Notamacropus eugenii: one gene and its partner. The protein of the gene in region 2 binds, or shares a complex with, the protein of the main gene of each other region. Links are inferred from orthologs where the notes say so. Each region holds a gene or a part of one and is shown on either strand. Other genes may lie near its edges. The genes, in order: NUDT21 and CPSF6.

The links.
Region 1: the proteins of CPSF6 (region 2) and NUDT21 are in contact, whole or in part, in a crystal structure (PDB 3P5T), measured with the Homo sapiens proteins. The link is inferred for Notamacropus eugenii from reciprocal best matches to the Homo sapiens genes CPSF6 and NUDT21. Residues at the interface, in NP_008938.2 of Homo sapiens: Trp90, Trp91, Thr92, Thr93, Asp94, Glu95, Lys113, Phe114, Glu116, Asn117, Arg118, Ala119, Asn120, Gly121, Gln122, Ser123; in NP_008937.1 of Homo sapiens: Pro151, Asn152, Glu154, Pro156, Tyr158, Tyr160, Pro162, Ala163, His164, Ile165, Thr166, Lys167.

The regions. Positions count from the first base shown.
Region 1 is NC_092872.1:473,941,794-473,951,623, reverse strand, and holds the start of NUDT21 (cleavage and polyadenylation specificity factor subunit 5), read left to right. Parts: upstream 1-5,285; 5' UTR 5,286-5,531; coding exon 5,532-5,647; intron 5,648-9,830. Other genes in the region: prolyl 3-hydroxylase OGFOD1, read right to left, coding at 239-285, 2,961-3,106, 4,916-5,072. UniProt on the Homo sapiens protein: Component of the cleavage factor Im (CFIm) complex that functions as an activator of the pre-mRNA 3'-end cleavage and polyadenylation processing required for the maturation of pre-mRNA into functional mRNAs.
Region 2 is NC_092874.1:246,468,881-246,478,340, forward strand, and holds the start of CPSF6 (cleavage and polyadenylation specificity factor subunit 6), read left to right. Parts: upstream 1-4,974; 5' UTR 4,975-5,086; coding exon 5,087-5,146; intron 5,147-9,460. UniProt on the Homo sapiens protein: Component of the cleavage factor Im (CFIm) complex that functions as an activator of the pre-mRNA 3'-end cleavage and polyadenylation processing required for the maturation of pre-mRNA into functional mRNAs.

The DNA of each region.
Region 1 (9,830 bases), on a different chromosome or scaffold from region 2:
TGTTCTGTAAAACTTAGATTTAATAAAAAGGCTGCACCCAAGAACCTACAAGGCCACATATGGCCTCAAGGCTGAAGGTTCCCTACCCCTGCTCTATATAATGCTGATATTTCTAAAAGGACACTAAACAAATGCACAGCACTGCAAATGAGCTACAGTTAATTCAGTTCTAGAGTTCAGGGATTAGAAACAAGGGCTCTAGTTCCCTGCTGCTGTGCATTAGGGACACTTCATTTACCTTAAGGCAGAGATGTGAAGCTCGTCTCTATTCTTCAGATCATCCGACTTGTGATAATGGAAAAAAAAACTCTCAGACATTAGATATACAGGCAAATCATTGTGTTCTTACAAGAACTTTTGTGACGTAATTGAAAAAAGAGAAAATAACGGGTTGCCTGAGCTCAGTACCTGTCTCCTCTGACTCTGAACATAAAATCAATACTACCTAGCTTACTACCTAAGTGTTCTGCTTTTGTAGGTCTGTCTTATGTTAACATCAACATTACAAGTCCTGTGAAGGCAGGGATTATTCCTTATCTTTTCCTTGTATCCTTAATAGTGCTGGGAAACATGTAAGATATCTGGAAAGGTAGCTATGGTAACAACATGGATCTCAGAGTAAGGCAGATTCAGTTTATTTATTATTTTGGCAACCTAATTTTCCTCTTTTTTAAACCAAGGTATCATAAAGATGTAATTAGCTATCTGACTAGCAAAGAAGGTAAGCAAGTCATGTGGCAAGATTGACAAATAATTGTGTATTCAGTTGATATTTACACAAGAGGAGGGTTTTAAGCAGGTTGGGTCTACACCTTTGTGTAAGATTTATATGACATGGATAGGAATGGCAGAAGAATAAGAAGGCGCAGATGAGTTGTGATCTGCACCTCTGGAGGGAATAGCTACGTTAAAGAAACCAAAGATGCACTGTAACACTGAAGAAGCTATTGATTTATTGTTCTCTTAATATTGTAAAAAAACCCAAAAAACCCAACACCCCATAAAAAAGCTAGTTTAAAAAAAATCACTCCTATTATCTTTATTCCCTCATTTTTTTCTATTTTCCTGCTAATGACCAAGATTCCTTTTTAAAGGGTTGTTAGTTTGCTGAATCTGTTTTCTCTAACTGCATACGTAGTTGATTAAAAATATCTCTTCTTAATTCATCAGTGTTTTCAGAGATCTAATTTTTCCTCTGAGTACTACTTTTATTGGATTTCATATATTCTGACATATTGTCTTATTATTAGGATCATTCTTTTAACCTGCCTGTGATTCAGAATGCTACTACTTAGTCTCCATTTAGGTCTATACATTTTGCTTATGTTTCCTCTATGAATAGTAGTTTTCATTATTTAACAATCTATAAAGAAAATATTTACCATTTTTATGTCCTAAAACATGATCAATATTTGTAAAGCTATTACTGATGCTCTGAAATAGGTATATGCTTAAATATTCCCAATGAGAAGCTGTCATAGGTGTTTCAAATCTAATTGTTCCAATAATTTGTTCAGTCTTTTATCTTCTTTGATTCTCATCTTTCTGCTAGATTTACAGAACTCTAAAAAATATTAGTTTCCTACAATTATTATGTTATTACCAATATCTTCATAATTCTGTTAGCTTTTAAGAACTTATTAATGGCAATACACATATAATTAATATTGCCTTACTGCATATGATATCTTTAAACAACAGAATTGACACTAAATTTTTATTACTACCTTGTTTAAAAATCATGGTTCCAACCCGTTTTTCTAGAATCAAATAAAGGAAAACAAATTTTGCCCCAATCTTTCCTTTTCACTTGGTATCCCTTTGTTTTGAAATACCTTTTCTGAATACGGTAAATTGCTGAGTTTTTTCTTATCCATCTTTCCATTCTCTTTCCTAGGGAATTAATCTATACACTTTCAAGATTATAACTGTCAAGTTTGTGTTTTCCTCTATGGGAATTGTTTTCTTCTCTTTTCAGTCAGTACTTAGTCCTTGCGACTTCTTTTGCTTAGATTAATTTGATTCCAGTTATTTCCCACCAATTCTCCATTCTGCCCTACTTCCTCATGCTCAGGTCAATTGTGTGTCAGTTTATGATTCTGTCCTTCCATTTCTCAGCCTAGATAAGAGGTATGGTACAGAATCTGCCATGGTCCTCTCCCCAAACCATTCTCTTAGTTTCAGCAATGTACATTTGCCCATTCCATTTTTATAAAGAGCTAAGTTGAAGAGGAATGATAAGTGAAGTTGTCAGAATAGTACTATCAGCATTTACATATAGCAGTTTAGATTTACAAAGCACTTTACAAAAATTATTTTATTTTATCTTCACCACAGCCCTGGGAGGAAGGTGCTATTGCCTCCATTTTACAAGTGAGGAAACTTGAGGCAGAGGTTAAGTGATTTGCCCAAGATTGCACCACTAGTATCTAAGGGAGGGTTTGAACTCAGGCCTCCCTAACTCCAGGTCCAGTGTTCTACTCACTGTGCCACCAAACTACTTATATGTATGTTGCTCACATACTTATATACATAAGAATTATACACATATGTACACCTATAACAGCATATTTAAGTCACTTGAACCTCAAAACAACTGTATGAAACGGCTATTGCAAGTATTGTTACTACTAATTTATAGAGGAGGAAACCAGTTTGGGGAGGGTAAGTAATTCACCCCTAAGTCAGATGGCTATAAAGTACCACAGCTAAGATTCAAACCTATGTTGATTAATTCTAAGTTTTTCTAATCTATGATACTGCCTTATGAAGACAGGTATCAGAAAGATAAAAGTGAGAAAAAGATGTATATTTCTTTTGCTACAATTGTGCCGAAAGTATTAAGCAGTAAAATAAAAATAAGGCAACCATAGTAACCTAACTGGGATTGGTTGAACCTTGTATTAAATGACCTTTGAGGGAGCATATTTAAGTGGCATAAATAGTTTGTGAATACACACCTGTTTGAATTTGTACAAGTCATTGCATTTCTCATGAAAATCCAAATCCAAAAGTTCCTTTTGAAGTCCTTCCAAGAAAGTCTGGCACTGGATGAAGTCTGGGATCACACAGTGATGGAAAGGATCTGGGTCTATGACTATGGCATCTTTCATAAAAGAAAACAGTGTTAATATTTTGCTGGGGAGGTCTGAGGGATTTAAGGGGAAGGGATGAATAGGAAATAAAACTTCATGGTCTAAAATACAGAAGAAGAATTGGTGGTCTTCCACTTTCTATTTACTTTTACCCTATATTTTGTGTTCTAGTTCACCTCCCACTTATTTCCCAAAGTTCTACCCAGTTTATGCATAGTTCTTCCATAACTCTTATTGTACATTTATTTATCCAGCCCACACCTCTCTTTTGACATCCAGTCTTGTATCTCCAACCACTTACTGGACATCACAAACTGGATATCCTGGGGACATCTTTAAACCAATTATATCTAAAACTGAAGTTATTATCTTTTCTTTCCAAACCCTTCCCTCTTCCTTTCAAGGGCACCACCATCCTCCCAGTTACCGAGGCTCACAACTTAGGTGTCATCCAAGACTCCTACCTTTCAATCCTCACAACCAATATTTCACAACATTACTAAGATATATTCACTCCCCTTTTCCTTTCCAACACTTTGTGCAAGCCTCATGCCTAGACTCTGAAGAGCCTGCTCGTTGGCCTCCCTGACTCCTCTCTCCCTCTTTGCAATCTATCCTCCACCCAAATGTCAGTGATCTTTCTAAAGTGCAGGACTGATCACATCACCCTCTCACTCTTTACTGAAGCCCAGTGGTTCCCTAGTACTTCCACGATTAAACATAATATCCTCTGGCTTTTGAAACCTTTCATAACCTGGCCTACTCCTACCTTTCCAGTCTTTTCACATTTTATACAGTCCGATTCAACTCCTAGCAGGTAACATTCCATCTCTTCATTCTATGCTCTGCCTCCTTACTTCCTTCAACTCTCACCTAAAATCTTACCTCCTACAGGTCCTGCTTACGGTAGTCCACCTTCCCTCTGAAAGGACTCCCTCCAATTAACCTGTAATATATCTTGATCGGACATAGCTGTTTGCATGTTGTCTTTCCCATTACATTGTGAGTTCCTTGAAGGCTGAGACTGTTTTTTGATTTTCTTTGAATCTCCAATGCTTAGCCCAAAACCTGGCTAAGGTGCTTAAGAGGTGCTAGTCCAGTTGGGTGGACAAGTATTGACTACTGGAGTTTGTACTTTTATTCATACAACCAATATCTATTAAGCACCTATTATATACAAAGTACTCAAACATTTTAATGATTTTTTTCTTTTCTCCAACCAGACTGTAAATTCCCTGAGGACAGACACTTTAACAATTTCTAATGAATGTCCCACAGGTCTTCGCAACATCATTAACGAGTAAAATACCCTGGCTCCTTTCTTTAGATCCGCAGGCCCATTACTGGGCACAACAAGGAGTCTTTGCAGGTTGGCAGGATCATCAGATTAAACTCCCCTGGCATAAAACTGGAGAACTCAAGGTCACCGGCGGGCAAGGATCAATCACCTGAGTGAGGAGGTTTGAGTTATTACCAATAACTGGGAGAATCAAGGACGGGTTCAAGGAAGAGGAGAAAACGCTGGAGTTACAAAGACCCAGCTTGTTCCCTCAAGGAAACTACAGTTCACAATTCTGAACTAGGCTTGGCTACAGAAAACACCTTTCCGCAGGATCACCTTCCCTTCCAGTCTTTCGGCCAGGACCCTTCCTGGCCCCGCCCCTCTGGGCTCTGGCCCCGCCCCTCTGGGCTCTGGCCCCGCCCCTCTGGGCTCTGCCCCCGCATGCTTGCAGCCCCCTCCTCACCCTTCTCCCACCCCACCCCCCACCCTCCCAAACCAGAGCAGCAACTCCATGCGACCGCCGCTCGCCCGCGGTTACCGTGACTGAATCTCGTCCTTCGGCTCCAGGCCTCAGCCACCTGGTTTTTCAGCAATTCTTCACGGATAGCGGCCGAGAACTCCCCTGTCAACTCCCGCTTCCCCTTCTTCTTTCCCTCTGAGACACGTCCCGGAGCCGCGCGCCGTTTCCCGCTCATACCTTCGGATCGCTTTGCCTCCCAAACCAGAACACTGCTACGAGTCGCGCGCCATGCGGCAAATGCGTCGCACCCACCGATACTACAACTCCTAGAATTCCCCCACTACCCACGAGACGCCCAATGGAAAGAAGAAAGCCGGGAAGAGGCGGCGCCTAACTTGTCTTTGCCAATGGGTGCCTCCGGTGGCGCAACGTCCTTGCTGTGATTGGCCACGCGCCGCTCTGGAGAAGGAGACTAGTTCCCTTCTGTGATTCGAGGCAATAGCCCGACGCTGAGGAAGGATAGGTCAGAAAGCACTTCCGGTGAGCGTCCGCCTCCTTCTCTGGCGCCTCCATGTTAATGGCGGTAGCGGTTGCCGAAGTGGGACTCTAATCCGGCCTCAAAGGGGAAGCAGCTTTTTCTTTCGGCTTCCGTCTGCCCCTGCCAGCCCTCGCGCCCACGCCCTCAGTCGCCAGCATGTCTGTCGTGCCACCCAACCGTTCGCAGACGGGCTGGCCCCGGGGTGTAAACCAGTTTGGGAACAAATACATCCAGCAGACCAAGCCTCTCACCCTGGAGCGCACCATCAACCTGTGAGTGACTCCCCCCCTTCCTCCCGATCCTCGGGCCGCGACGTGCCCCTGCTTTCCCGCCGCCCCAACTCCCTCCACGCCACGAGCGCATCCCGGCCGCCGCCTCGATGTTTCCCTCCCTCCCTCCCCCAGAGCGCGTCCCCCACTCCTTTTCCTGAGGCGCGCGCCGTTGGCCCCCCGCGAGTCCCGGGCACCCGTGGGCTTGGCGCGCTTCCACTTCTCCTTGGCGCGCTAGGCTTCTCACTCTACATGTGGGCGTGCCCCTGGCCACCCCCCTGGCCCTGAACCCCCCAAGCAAAGCGTCACGGTTCTAAAGGACTTGAGAATACATACACTACCGTTCCTTAAATCTCCAGTGCAGGAGATGGAAGACGTTTTCCGTCTGTCAGTAAGCTGTACGCCAGGCACGGACCTGGGCCCAGGCGACAGGCCCTGCTCTGGAGAAGTTCACCCTGTAACGAGGGAGACCGTGTGCTAACAAATTTCCATAAGCAAGCCATATACTGGAGAAGTAGGAAGCCGTAGGGAAGGCATCGGCTAATGCTGGGGATTCTGGAAAAGCTTCCTTTAGAAGGTGGGATTTTAGCTGGGACTTGAACCAGCAAAGCCAGGCGCCGGGGGTGAGGAGGGAGAGCATTGCCTGCAAGGAGACAGCCAGAGAAAATTCGCAGGGTTGGGAGATGGCGTGTCGTGTGTGTGAGGAGTGATTGGGAACCATTGTCACCGGATCGAAGAGTAAGGAGGCCGTGGTGTAAGGTGTAATAAGGCAGAAAGCAGGGCAGGATGCTCACACCGGGAGTAAATGACAGACCTGGGAATCTTAGACTAGAGGGCCAGGAAGTCACCTGCTTTGTGCCAGGCAAAGTGTAAAGCACAAAGAGAGGCAGAAGATTTTTCATGTCTACAGATGGTGCTAAACACCATTCTCCAAGAGCTCACAGTCTAATGGAGGAGATGACACTCAAAACAGCTATGCACAAACCAAGTGTATACATGATAAATTGGAGATAAGTAAAACATCTAGTATAAAATGAGGTTCAGAAGGGGGATGACTTTTTCCATTAAAAAAAACTGTAAAAATAAAGCTTCCCTTTCTTTGGACACCTAGTTGATAGAGGCACTAATAGTAGTCTCCTTCTGGCAGCCAACTCCATTATATACCAAACTTCCCATATATTGTGGGTTCTTTCAGTGGTCCCTGCTTAGACATGTGGTTGGATTGGCAAGTGGGAGGAAGCTTGAGGTCTGTCTTGCTTTTCCTTTCTAGGATATTGCTTCTCTTTTCCACTAGGCCAACATCCTAGCACGTTGTACTGCATGTGGTTGCTGTGTGGTACTGCATTGTTGCTATGGAAACACAGCATTCTTTTCTAAGAGATAGAAAAGCATGTATAATGCATTCTCCACAATGAATATGCCTTAAGGTTTTTGCTTAAACTTTAAAGTTACAGTTTTTGAAATGCAGATTCTATCAGGCAGATAATTCACATTGGGAATCTCATACCAACAAACGGGCAGCAGACCTTTTTACCAATCATTGAGTGTGTATATCATTCTGTGGGAATTACTCTTCATGTTGTCATTTACTGAATGTTACAAAGTTGACATAAATGTAGGCATTCGTTTCTGATGGAAAAAGTAGGGTCTCAAATTTGCATTTGGTTAAGAAATAAAGGAAAGGTAATCATGCAAAGAACTTAAAGGTTAAAGATACGAGTCTTTGGTATCTGAAAATAAAATGTAGTCTGCTGATTTTTATCTCAGCAATTTGAAAATAATACCTAGAACTATGTCAGACCACCAAACTTGAAAGCATTCAAATTGAGCTGTTTATTAATCCTTTAATTTGTGGGTGTATGGTCAATTAATTTTTACTAATAACCTTCCAACTATGATGCTATGAAAATAGACTTGTGGGCTGTCCTGGAAACAACCAACATTTATATTAAAAATGCATTCTGAGTTCTAAAAATTAAAAATCTTGGAACACAGTTTGTTGGAAAGTTGGGCACTGACTAAATTCAGAAACATTTATTGCTTAGTAGACCCAAGTTTTCATTGTTCTAGGTGGGCAAGAAATATGCTAAACTGAAGATAAGCTTCATCCTTTGTTTCCTTTCAAAGTAATTTTTGTTGTTGAATTTCAACAACAGTAGTTGTGTCCTACTCTTTGTGACCCCATTTGAGGTTTTCTTGGTAAAGGTACTGTAGTGGTTTGCCATTTCCTTTTCCAGCCTATTTTACTGGTGAAGAAACTGAGGCTTGCCCAGGGTCACACAGCTTAGTAAGATGAATCTTAAGGCATGGTATTCTAATCCATTGCTCTACCTAGTTGTCCCTCAAAAGAATGTAGGTAAAAATAACACTTAAAGTTTTTTAAGAATAGTTTTCATAACTGCTCTGTCTTTTGATTTTTAATTTTTCACATTGACAACCTCATGGAGGAGTAGGGACTACATCTTGCAGTGTAGCTATGTCATGTCTAAAGATGGTGTTAAGCCCTCCAGCCAAATAACATGCGCTAGTGAATTTTGCTCTATTTTTCCCTGTCATTTAAGGGTTAATTTGAAGTGAGAAAGTGCCTATGATCTAATTTAGAAATATCAAGGTGTTTGGTTTCATACTTCTGTTTGTTCTTTTTTGGCATTAGGGTTATGGATTAGGGAAACAGTGTATTACCTGCTACTGTTAGAATGTTTTAGTAAATTTAAGAGAATGTATATGGTAAAAACATTCACCCCAAAGTATATGGAACACTTGGACTGAGGAGGAGCCACTTGCAGATAGAGAGGATAAAATAAACTGTAAGATTCTAAATTTTTTAAATTTTCCCACACAATTCTGAAGTTTGCCTGAACATCTGCTGTTTAACATGGGCAAAGGACCCATCTGTAATTTGGCAGAAGGATTTGGGCCTCTCTCTTGCCCGGGAGCCTTGAAAAATTGACTTGCCCTAGATCACTGTGTCAGAAGAATGACTTGAACCCAAATCTTCCTGACTTTTGCCTACTTTACATCCTGTAAGTTGCTAGGTGATGCAGTGGATAGAGGACTGCACCTGGAATTAGAAAGGCCTGAACTCAAATCTAGTCTCAGACACTAGTCATGTGACTCAGGACAAATTACTTAACTAATCATTTCTAGTTTCCTTATTTGTAAAATTGGGCTTATGATAGCACCTATCTCCCTGACCTATAAAGTTGAAATGAGTTAACGCTTCATAAACCTTAAAGCCTGTATAAATGACAGCTAACATTGTTGTTACTATTATTACCACTTCTTTTAAGATGCTAATTTGTATTGTGAATCATCCCTCTGGAAGATGTCCCTTTGGACCACTGGGTATTTCCTTACTTCTTTGAATGGGTTTATAATTTGGGACAAAAGGGCTGAAAAATCAAAATGGCCTTTAAACCAGAAAGTGGAGAGAGAATTTAGGATGAATTGATTCAAAAATAGAATGGTCTGAGAGCTATCCTTTCAGAAAAGTCTTAATAAAAAGTATTAACAAAGATGGAGCACAGTAAGAGTACCCCTGGAGGAATGGATCTACTGATGGAGTGAACCTTCAGGGTTTAGGGATATGGTACTTAAGGAGAGGAAGGGGAGGAGACTACAGAGGGATATCAACCCAGTTTGTGAGGAAGTTGGCTGTTGATTTCAACCTGAAGCTACAGTGGAGCAGACCTAAGAAAAAGATGTTCAGTATTTAAAGGGCTGAAAGAGTACCTCCCAGGTAGGAGGAGGGTTGAAAAAGAAGAGAAATATCAGCAGTTACCAGGGTCTGAACAAGGGAAGTAAGGACAGAAAGTGACACACTAAGGTTTGCCTGGTAAGTAAATTGTACTCTGAAATCACTCTGGTTAGTCGTTTGTACATATCAACTTAATTGCATGTGGTGGAAAGAGTGTGGCTAGAGTGAAAAATTGGGGAAAAGCTATAAACCCAAGGATATGGTCTTTAAGTCATAATTTTCTCCTTATGATGCTTTGATCTGAGCAGAAAATCACCAGACAAATGGTGATTGAGAAGTTGGTTAGGAGAGTTTCTTTTGGGGGGAAATGATCCTGTTTTGGCACAGTACTTTCTTGACCCCAATGTGTATGAGAAATTCATAAAAGAATAAAAGGAGGAGATGGATGGTCTTTGGTTAATATCTATTTAGAAGATTGACATTCCTATG
Region 2 (9,460 bases):
GTGGATTTGTTTTCCTTGACTGTACTTATTTACTGTAAGAATTGTGTTTTTCCCTTTTCATTTGGGGAGAAAGGGTTGGGAAAGAAGGGAAAACTTGTGATACTGTTGCTAAAAAAAAGGATAAAAAGCATGTTTAAGAACACAGAATAGAAGGAAGGTCAGAGGACAACAAGCAGAAAAGCAATGAAAGTCATATGTTGAATTAATTATATGATTAAAAAAACTAAGTTGTGTATAATACTGTGTCATTTCCCATATGATCTTCTTTTTATGCACTTAAATCCCTTGGCCCCTTGTTCTGTCACTTATGATGCTTTATCAAACCCTAATTTTGGATTACTTCCACCTTCCATCACCTTCACTGGTTATTCATGGAATGGAGTTAGAGATAGAAAATTATGGTGACTCAGTCTACCACAGATTTATGTTATATAATCTCAACTGGACCCTCATTATATTAAGGGCAATTTTTTTACATGCCCTAAACCTTCTCATCCCTCCTCAAATCTCCTATGGACCCCGTTTCCCTAACCCTCTCAGCTGAGCACCTCAATTCATCCTTCATTTGATGAGAGCTTCATCTTCTTTCCCCCACCCCACCTCACATGACTGAGAAATATGCCTCCACTATATCCTCCTCATCCCTATTTTTCATGAAGAGGTAGCCCATTCCTGACCAGCACAAGTCCTTCTATGTGCATCCCTGATTCCATCCCTTCCTGTGTTCACCAGTAGATAGCCTCTTCTCTAATGCCAGGTCTCTAATCTTCAATCTCTTGATATCTACTGAATGCTCCCTTGCTGCCTATAAACTTGCTCTGGTCTCCCCCATTTAAAAAAACAAATACACTCCAAATGCAACACTGAAAAACAAAATCTCTTGCCTTCTCAAGGAGAGAGGAGAAGAAAGAGGGAGGAAGAAAATTTGAAACTCAAAGGTTTATCCTACTTTATCCTACCACATCTGTTATCTCTCTCATTCTATCTCTCTCCTCTCTTCTTTTGGCTAATGACCTTGAGAAAGTTATCTACAACTGGTACCTCCACTTTCTCTTTTCTCCTTCTCTTCTAAACCCTCTATGGTCTAGCTTCCAACTTCATCATTCAACTGAAACTCCTCTTTGACCTCTTAATTGCCAGATTTAATGGCTTTTTTCTCAGGGACCTTTCTGCAGCCTATGACACTATTAATCTGAATTTTTCCTCTTCTGAAAATTTTGATACCACAGTCTCTTGGTTCTCCTTCTACCGGTAAGTCAATAAACATTTATTAAGGGCCTCTTACGGGTCAGAAACTGTGCTAAGTGCTGGAGATACAAATAAAAAGATAGTTCCAGCCCAACAGGAGCTTAAAATATAATGGAAGAAGGTAACACACAAAAAGAATTTGAAAAGCAGTCAGGTGGGGGAAAGCACTTGGCTCAAGGGCATAATAAGGAAATCTAAGAGCAGTTCAACTGGTAGAAAATGGAAAGACTGAGCCCCTTCCTTAAATGGAAGTTTTGGAGCTCATGGGTCTACCCTACAGTCTGAGGGCCCAATCAGAAATTCAAAGGGTACTGATGAGATGGGAATGCCATGGCTGATTCTGTCCTGCAAGATAACAACAGTTCCCAAAGATGAGTTTCCTGGGGCATGAATTAATGATGAAATCCCAAAGTAGCATAGCTGGTGAGAGATGGGGATTGTTGCTTCTCAGGATCCTTTTCTGGTTCTTTATCCTGGTGACATCTACTAATCATGGGGTGTCACTTCCCCAAGGCTCTATCTGATGACCTCTTCTCCCTCTGTACTATTGACCTGGCTGATCTCATCAGCTCCCATGGGTTCAATCATTATCTTTATACTGATTTGTAGTTCTATATATTTAGCTCTAACCTTTCCCCTAACCTTCACTCTCAAATTATTAATTGCTTCTGACATCCCATCATTGATGTTGTAAAGATATGTCCAACTCAGTACATCCAAAACTGAACTCATCATATTTCCCCTAAAACCCTCTCCTCTTCCCAACTTTCAAGAACACTTACCATCCTCCACCCAGTCACCTAAGGTTTCAACTTTAGTGTCATCCTCAAATCCTCCCTTGTACCTACTCCATATTTGTTGCCAAGTCTTGTCTTGTTCTCTTTCAGAACATCTCTCCTATATGCCTACTTCTCTTCATTTATACAATTTTTTATCAACTATGCTCTGGCTATTGCGATAGCCTTCTGGCTAGTCTTCCTGCCTCCTCTCTCCCCGCACCATCCCATTTTCTACTTAGTGGTCAAACTGATGTTAAAGTATAGGTCTGACCACATCACTTCTCTCCCCTAGAGGGAACTAGAGTTTAACTAGTTAAAAAAACTCTAGTACCTCCCTATGATCTCCAGGGTGAAATAAAAAAAAAATCTTCTGTTTGGCTTTTAAAACCTTTCACAACCTGGCCCCTTCCTACCTCTCCAGCTGTCTTATACTTTACTCCCCTCTCTGTCCCCTGTGATCCAGACATTTTTGCTGTTCTTGCTATAGTTCCCCATGCCTTCCTCCTCATCCTCTGTCTCTTCATTTCCCTTGCTTCCTTCAATTTAGCTCAAATTCTGCTTTCTTCAAGAGGTCTTTTTTGGGTCCCCTGCTTAGGTCTAGTGCCTTTTCCTTGGGATTCTCTCTCATTTAGTGTCTGTATCTTGTATGTATATAGCAATGTGTCTTTTGCCTATTTCATTACAATGTGAACTCCTTGAGAATAAATGCTTGTTGGTTGATTATATATGGAAATATTCTTTTTTTTTATGTTTGTTAAATTCAGGATAAAAAAATCTTTTTAAAGTATCTATCCAAGTATGTATCCAAGAATTCTGTCCAGGACTATCTCTTCTCCCTGTTCATGAGGATTCTTAGTCTGTTGTCTACATACACACACACTCAGTCAAGGAGTTGGTGGATCAATTTCAAGGCATTTGTGATGTGGATGGGAAACACAAATTATATTTTAACTTTCATTAACCTCTCATTGAAATTCAGCATTTTCTTCTGTTATGGGTGTAAGACAACAATCTTTTGAGAAGGGGTTGATAGACTCTACTAGACAATCTAAGGTGGAATGGGGAACCTGCAGCCTACGGTGGCCCTTTCACTGAATCCAAACTTCACAGAACAAATCCTTTCATTAAGGAGATTATTTATAATGATACTACTACTAATAAAATAATAAATAACATGATTATTTATTAAGTAGATTTGTCCTGTGAAGTTTGGATTCGGTCAAAGGGCTGCACTTGAGCACCTAGAGGGCCACATGCGTCCTCAAAAGTTCACCCTTGGTCTAAGGAGTCCCTGTCCTAAAAAAAGTTACGACCCCCTTGTTTTATACTCTCTCTGTCTCTGGTAATGCCCTATGACTTAGAATCAGAGCCTCATCTCAAAAGCATATAAATTTGGAGGGTTAGCAGGTATTTCTTTTTTCTTCATGACAAATTATTTCATTATGACAAATAATTCCTTCCTGTTGGAAGTACTCAAAACAAAGTCAAGTGCAAGTCATGTCATTATTTCTCTGATGGCATCATCTTCTCCCCCAATGAAGGACGAACACTCACCTGTTGACCAAACTCCTTCTACCAACGCCTCCTTAAAGAGTTGCTTGGGTCCTAGAGAAGCTGAAGCAAAGGGAGGGTACGTGGGACAATTAAATGACTTGTAAAAAAAAAGACCACATACATAGTAGGTATCAGAAACAACACTTGAACGCAGGCCTGACTCCGATGGCTTGGTACCCATAAGGAATCACGCTGCCTTGGAAAGAACGAGATCTGACCAAGTGGCTATGAAGCTGGGTAGGTCCCCTGATGAATTCAGATCAAGGTCGGTCTGAACTGCCCATGGCACACATACAAAATCAAACACACCAGCTCTTGCCTTGAGTAGATCCCCTCTGGAGGGAGGACTCAGAGGAGGAGGATACATTGTAACTCCCTTTAGTTTGGAAAACCCGCCCTGACATGTAACTGACGAGAGAACATGTCTCTATAATAACCTTTCCTAGAATTCCGTAGATCTCCAGCCGTCTTCAGTCACACACATTCATAGGGTTTTCCCCAACAAAATTCGGAGGAAGTCTTGATGAATTTCTGCCTTGTTTTAGGAAATGAGAACAGGAAAGGATTCCCATAAACCCACGTTTCCAAGCCACACTGATCCTGCTCTCCAGATCTCCCCCGCCTTTCATCTTTCTTCCTTTTCTCCACCCTGCCCTATCGCCATAACCAATAGCAGCTCCTTCGTGGATCTCTTTTCCATCCCCATGGATTCCTAGATGATTTCCCCCTCTTCCAAGGTTCCCTACCAGCCCTGCCAGGGACACAACGGGAGGCAGATAAAGAAGGTCCCTCCTCTGCCCCAGTTTTTATAGAATTAGAAGATGTGGGCAGTACTTTCTCTTTCTTTTAAACACCTTTACATGAACACGTACACGGGTTTTTTCCCCTAGAGAAAACGTGACAGCCGATGGTCGGTGTGCACCAGGAGCAGGGGAAGGGGCTGGGGGGTCCAGCCTTAGGGACGCAGCGCGTGCCAGGGCTCGAACCGCTCTCCGGTGCCGGAGCCGCAGGACCGGCGGCGGGGGTGGGGCTGGGAGGGTGTGAAGTGAAAGGGACTCCCAACGAGAAACGGAAACATTCATCTGCTAATTGCAAATAATTAGGAAGCCGAGGCTGTGCCACGTGTCGGGCCGTCCTCCTTTACCGGGCCTTCGCGTAGACCCCCACGCTGCATGGCCGGCGGCAGAGCCACAAGCTCCAGCCCCATGGGGGAGGAGGCGAGAAATGAAAAAAAAGAAAAATGGTGTCCCCCTCCCCGTCCCTCCAGCGCCAGCTCCCGCTCCGTGCAGCCGCAGCCCGGGCCCGCGCTCAGGGCGCCTCCGCAGCTGCGGCTCCCGCCGCCCACAGCGCCCACCCCTCCCGCCTCCCGCCTCCCGCCTCCCGCCTCGGAAGTGACGCAATGGGTCCCCCCTCCCCCCTCCGCTAGATCCGCTGCTGCTGCTGCTGCTGCGGACCGAGCTGCTGTAGGTGGCCGCGGCGGCGGCGGCAGCGGCAGCCGAAGGAAAATGGCGGACGGTGTGGATCACATAGACATTTACGCGGATGTGGGCGAGGAGTTCAACCAGGTACGTGCGGCCCACCCCCTTTTCCCCCGGAGGCCCCGCGCGGCCGAAGCGGGCTGCGCGCTGGCCGGCGGGGTCGGGGCCGGGCCGGGCCCGCTTGCTGCGGGGGCTGCACCTCGGCCAGATTCCGGGGCCTCCCTCCCCTGCGCTCTCCCCACTCGCTTCGCCCTCTAGGCTTGCTCGGCCCCGGCTCCTCCTTCCCCGCTTGCCCATTGTGGGCGACGCCCGGGTCCCGGGGCTTCCCGCCTCGGCGTAGGCCCGGAGCGGCGGCGGCGGCGGCAGCGGCGGGGCCGGGCCTCGTGTGCGCCGGGGGGCGGGGGCAGCAGGGGCAGGACGGCCGGGGCCCGCCCTCCTGCCCGGCCCGGCCCGGCCCGGCCTTGCGGAGGGCCCCACTGGGCTCCGCTCCCGCCCCTCGCCTCATGGAAGCCTCCGTTTCGCGGCCCTTTGTGCCCCCTCGCGCCCCGCTCTTCCCGGATCCCGCCTTCCGCCTGGGCCACGGGTCCCTTCGCCGGCGCCGCTCCCGAGGCCCCGAGGCCTGGCCGCCGCCGCCGCGCTGGGGCCTGGCCTGGGGGGAGAGGCGGTGGCCTGCGGGCGGGAATGGCCCCTTCGCACCTGAAGGACCGGGCGCGCCAATCGGGCCGAGCGAAGCAAGGGCCTCTGCCCATCTGCCCATGTGCCCCTCCATACGCCCGATTCGCTGTGAAAATGTCCATCCCCGACCTCCGGAGGCCTCCGTGCACCGCGTCCATTGACGCCGCTGGCCCGGGAGGCTTTGTAGTCGCCAATCCCCGCCCCCCGGACCCCGGTCCTTCCAGCGTTTGAGTGGCGGGTGGGCGCCCCCCTGCAGGACAGGCGGTGCGGGAGCCCCGCCGCGGGGAGCTTTTATTTGAAAAATACTCCTTTTTGTTTTCTCATTTGTTGGGCGCCTGCTCCGGCCCTGGGCTTTGTGGCTTAGCGCCGGTGGGGGGGCGGGGGAGCCCCCTCCCCCTCGCCCCCGTCCCGAGTCTCCTCCGGAAGAGCCGGGGTTCGGATTCGGAGGGACGGGCATTCTTTTTGCAAAACGTCTGCCCTTGCTGTTGGGCCGCGGAGCCGGGAGGATGGGTGCCCCCGGGAAGGCAGCGCCCGCCCGGGGCCTCCCTCCGCTTAGGCTGGGAGCGCCTGCGGGGAGGGGGCGGGGGGCGGCCTGCCCCCTCGGGGGCTGAAGCCAGCCCCTGCCCCTGGGGCTCCCGCCTTCGAGCCTGGCTTGGAGGGGGCCTGTGGAAGGTGGGAGAAGCCCGGGTGGGGGGGTGGGGATGGGGGCTTTGCCGTTTTCAAAGGTTTTTTTGGTGGAAGATGGCATTTTAATTGGCACTTGAAAGAAGCCAGGAGGTGGATTAAATGGGTTCTGCCCAATAGTGGTGGGTTTTTCCTTCATCTGGAAAGTGGGATTTTAGTTGAAACTTGGAAGCCAGGAATTAGATGTATGTGTTTTGTTCAGTAGCCCTGGTTGGGGAAAGGGGTGGGGGATTGGGTTTGGGGGAGGCGGGGGTGAGGGGGGCTTGGTTTTTTGTTTTTTTTTTTTAAAGATTTCTTGTAAAAGGTGGGGTTTTGGTTGAAACGTGGAAGGAGCCAGAAGGTGGATAACGTATTTTGCCCCATATAACGTGTTTTTGTTGATGGTGGTGGTTATAATCCCAAACTGCACAGGAATGTCATACCTGATGGGTTTATTTTTTTTCTGGCTCCGGGAGAAAGGAACTTCTTAAACTTCCCCACGTCTGAGTTTGCTGATTATTTTTTTTTTAAATTTGGGTGAATATGTTAATTGACACAAATCAGATTGTTTTTCCTTAAAGATTTCTTTTCTTTTTGTGTACCTTGGGGTAGGGTTCCCAGGAAAGACGAAATCACCACATTTTCCTATGATACACTTCAAAAAATGTTTCAGATATTAAGCCGTAAATGGTCAAAGCGTCTTAAGATGAAAAATATTTTAGATATTTGTGGTTTGTATTTCAAGCCCATTATTTTCAGTGTTTATACCAGTTAAGTGTCTTTAAGCTGTTAATGAGAATACAGCTTTATAGTACCACAAAAAAATAGGACACCAAAGCTTTTTTGGATCCCCTTTTTATCTGCACACGGAATGTATGTCTGATGTTAATATGGCAAGTTGTCCTCAAAGGTTATGCCAATTAAATGTCTCTAAACTATGAATAGGATATAATGTTTGAGTGCCGTAGAAAATAGAATAGCTAACTTTGTAGGGGGATACTCTAGTTTAGGGGTTCTCAGCCTTTTTTGTGTCAGGCCCCTTTAATGTTTGTAGTGTTTCTGTTGAAAGTTCATTGGACTTATGGTTATGCCACTTAAGTGTCTTTAAACTTGGTAAGCCTGCAGCGTTGGAGTACCACGTAAAAACGGAATACCAAAGCTATTTTGGGGGGGAATCTATGGTTCTTTTTATTTGCATATTTGCAGTGTTTATATTACTAAACCCGTTCTGCTTAAAGATTATGCTGTGTCTTTAAACTATTAGTAAGAATACAGGATCTTTTAAGTACCACGCAAAAAGAATATATCGAAGCTTTTTAATTTTTTTTAAGGATTTTAGATGCACAGTTGCTGCTAGCAAGCATTTTTTTCCGAAAAGAGGTCAATGTTATGTATTTTCTGAGTCCTGGGTATGCTTTAGGACTGGAGGCCAGGATGAATATAATCTTTATTCCCTTTTCCTTACAGGAATTTCTGTCCTTGGCTTTGAGCTCCCTCTCCACAGAGCAGGCATACTTGGGGCATCATTTAGTGGCCAAGTCTTTTTTCAGTTTTCTTCACTTCTCAGAAATACTTCAGGGCTGTTGCAGACTTGATCCTGGAGGGATGTTTCCTTTGTTTGTAATGCCAGTTGGTACTGTTCAATTAACTTCCTGCAGCCTGGGTGAGAGAAATTTCCTGGGTTTCATTGACTACTTTTACAGTCAGCTTTTTTTTTTGGATTCAGAATTTCTTTTTCAACATCTACCAGACAGCCTACATTCAAATGGCTTTACCAATGTCATTTTAGAGATTCAAATTGATGAAGTTAGAAGGTGCTGCTTTTGTTTGTAGTTTGATTAAATGATAACTTTGATTTTTATAGTCTGGATGTTACTGACCTCTGCTGTTTTTACCCCCCTTTGATCATGATCCTGTACTTTTAAAGTGTATAATGTTTGAATATACAGAGAGGTAATTCTGTATTTGCTGTGTAAATTATGTTTTGTTAAAATTTAAATGAACTTTTATATATATTTAAAAATAATAATCATGCATATATTAGAAGTTAAGCTTGACCATTTTTTATTAATATAATGCACTTTGGGAGTGGGATAAGTGAATTCCTTCATTGACCAGATGAATTTAAGAGTGGTGAGGAAAGATAAGGGAGGGAAAAAAGCACAAGGGACTCTGCTGTTTTATGTGGGGGTATTCTTGATGTCTTTAATTGGAGGTTCCTAGATTCCATCAAATTGGGAACAGTTACTCTTTTGAAGGCAGTCATTTGGGCTTTTCTTTTTGCAATGTTACTTGCATCCTCTTCTCTCCCCTTCATCCCCCCTCCACCATACACATGCACTGTGTTTAGGTTTGGGAAGAGAACAGCATTAGAATCCTAGCTACTAAAGCAGTTTCAGTCCATTCCAGGATTTATATTTATTTATTTTTAATTTTATAATTGAGCATCTTGACTCAGTTCTTTTTTCTTTTGCCTCAAATATGTATAAAAATCAACCCTGGTCGATGTGTCCAATTGTGAAGTACGGAGTCACAGGATCATAGACTTGGAGTTGGAAAAGACTTTGGAGATCAGAGTCCAACATCCTCGTTTTACAGATGAGGAAACTAAAGCACAGAAAAGTCAACAGATACTAAGTGTCTGAAGTAGGATTTGAAACTGGATCTTCTGACTTCAGTGGGTTCTGATGTGAAACTGGCTTCTTTTTGTTTGTTTACATGGGACTATCTGAGTTCTATGATTTTTAGGGACCCAACTTGCATCTTGAAAAAGAATCATTTAGTTAGTGATTAGAAAAATTATCTTCCTCACTTATATTTCACAGTCTGGGACTACTTTGCAGCTTTCATTTACCCAACAGCATCATGTTATTTATTTAACTGATGTAAGTTAAGAAAGTTTTCCTTTATGTATTTAAACCATTTTTCTCCCAATTAAATTGCTTGCTCTTAATATTTTTATTGCATGAGATAGGTTTATTCTTGCTGAGTTTATGGTTCCTACAAGATAAAATGAGGATTTCAGCTCAGTTTATAAGAATGACAATGTTACTTGGGCTAAGG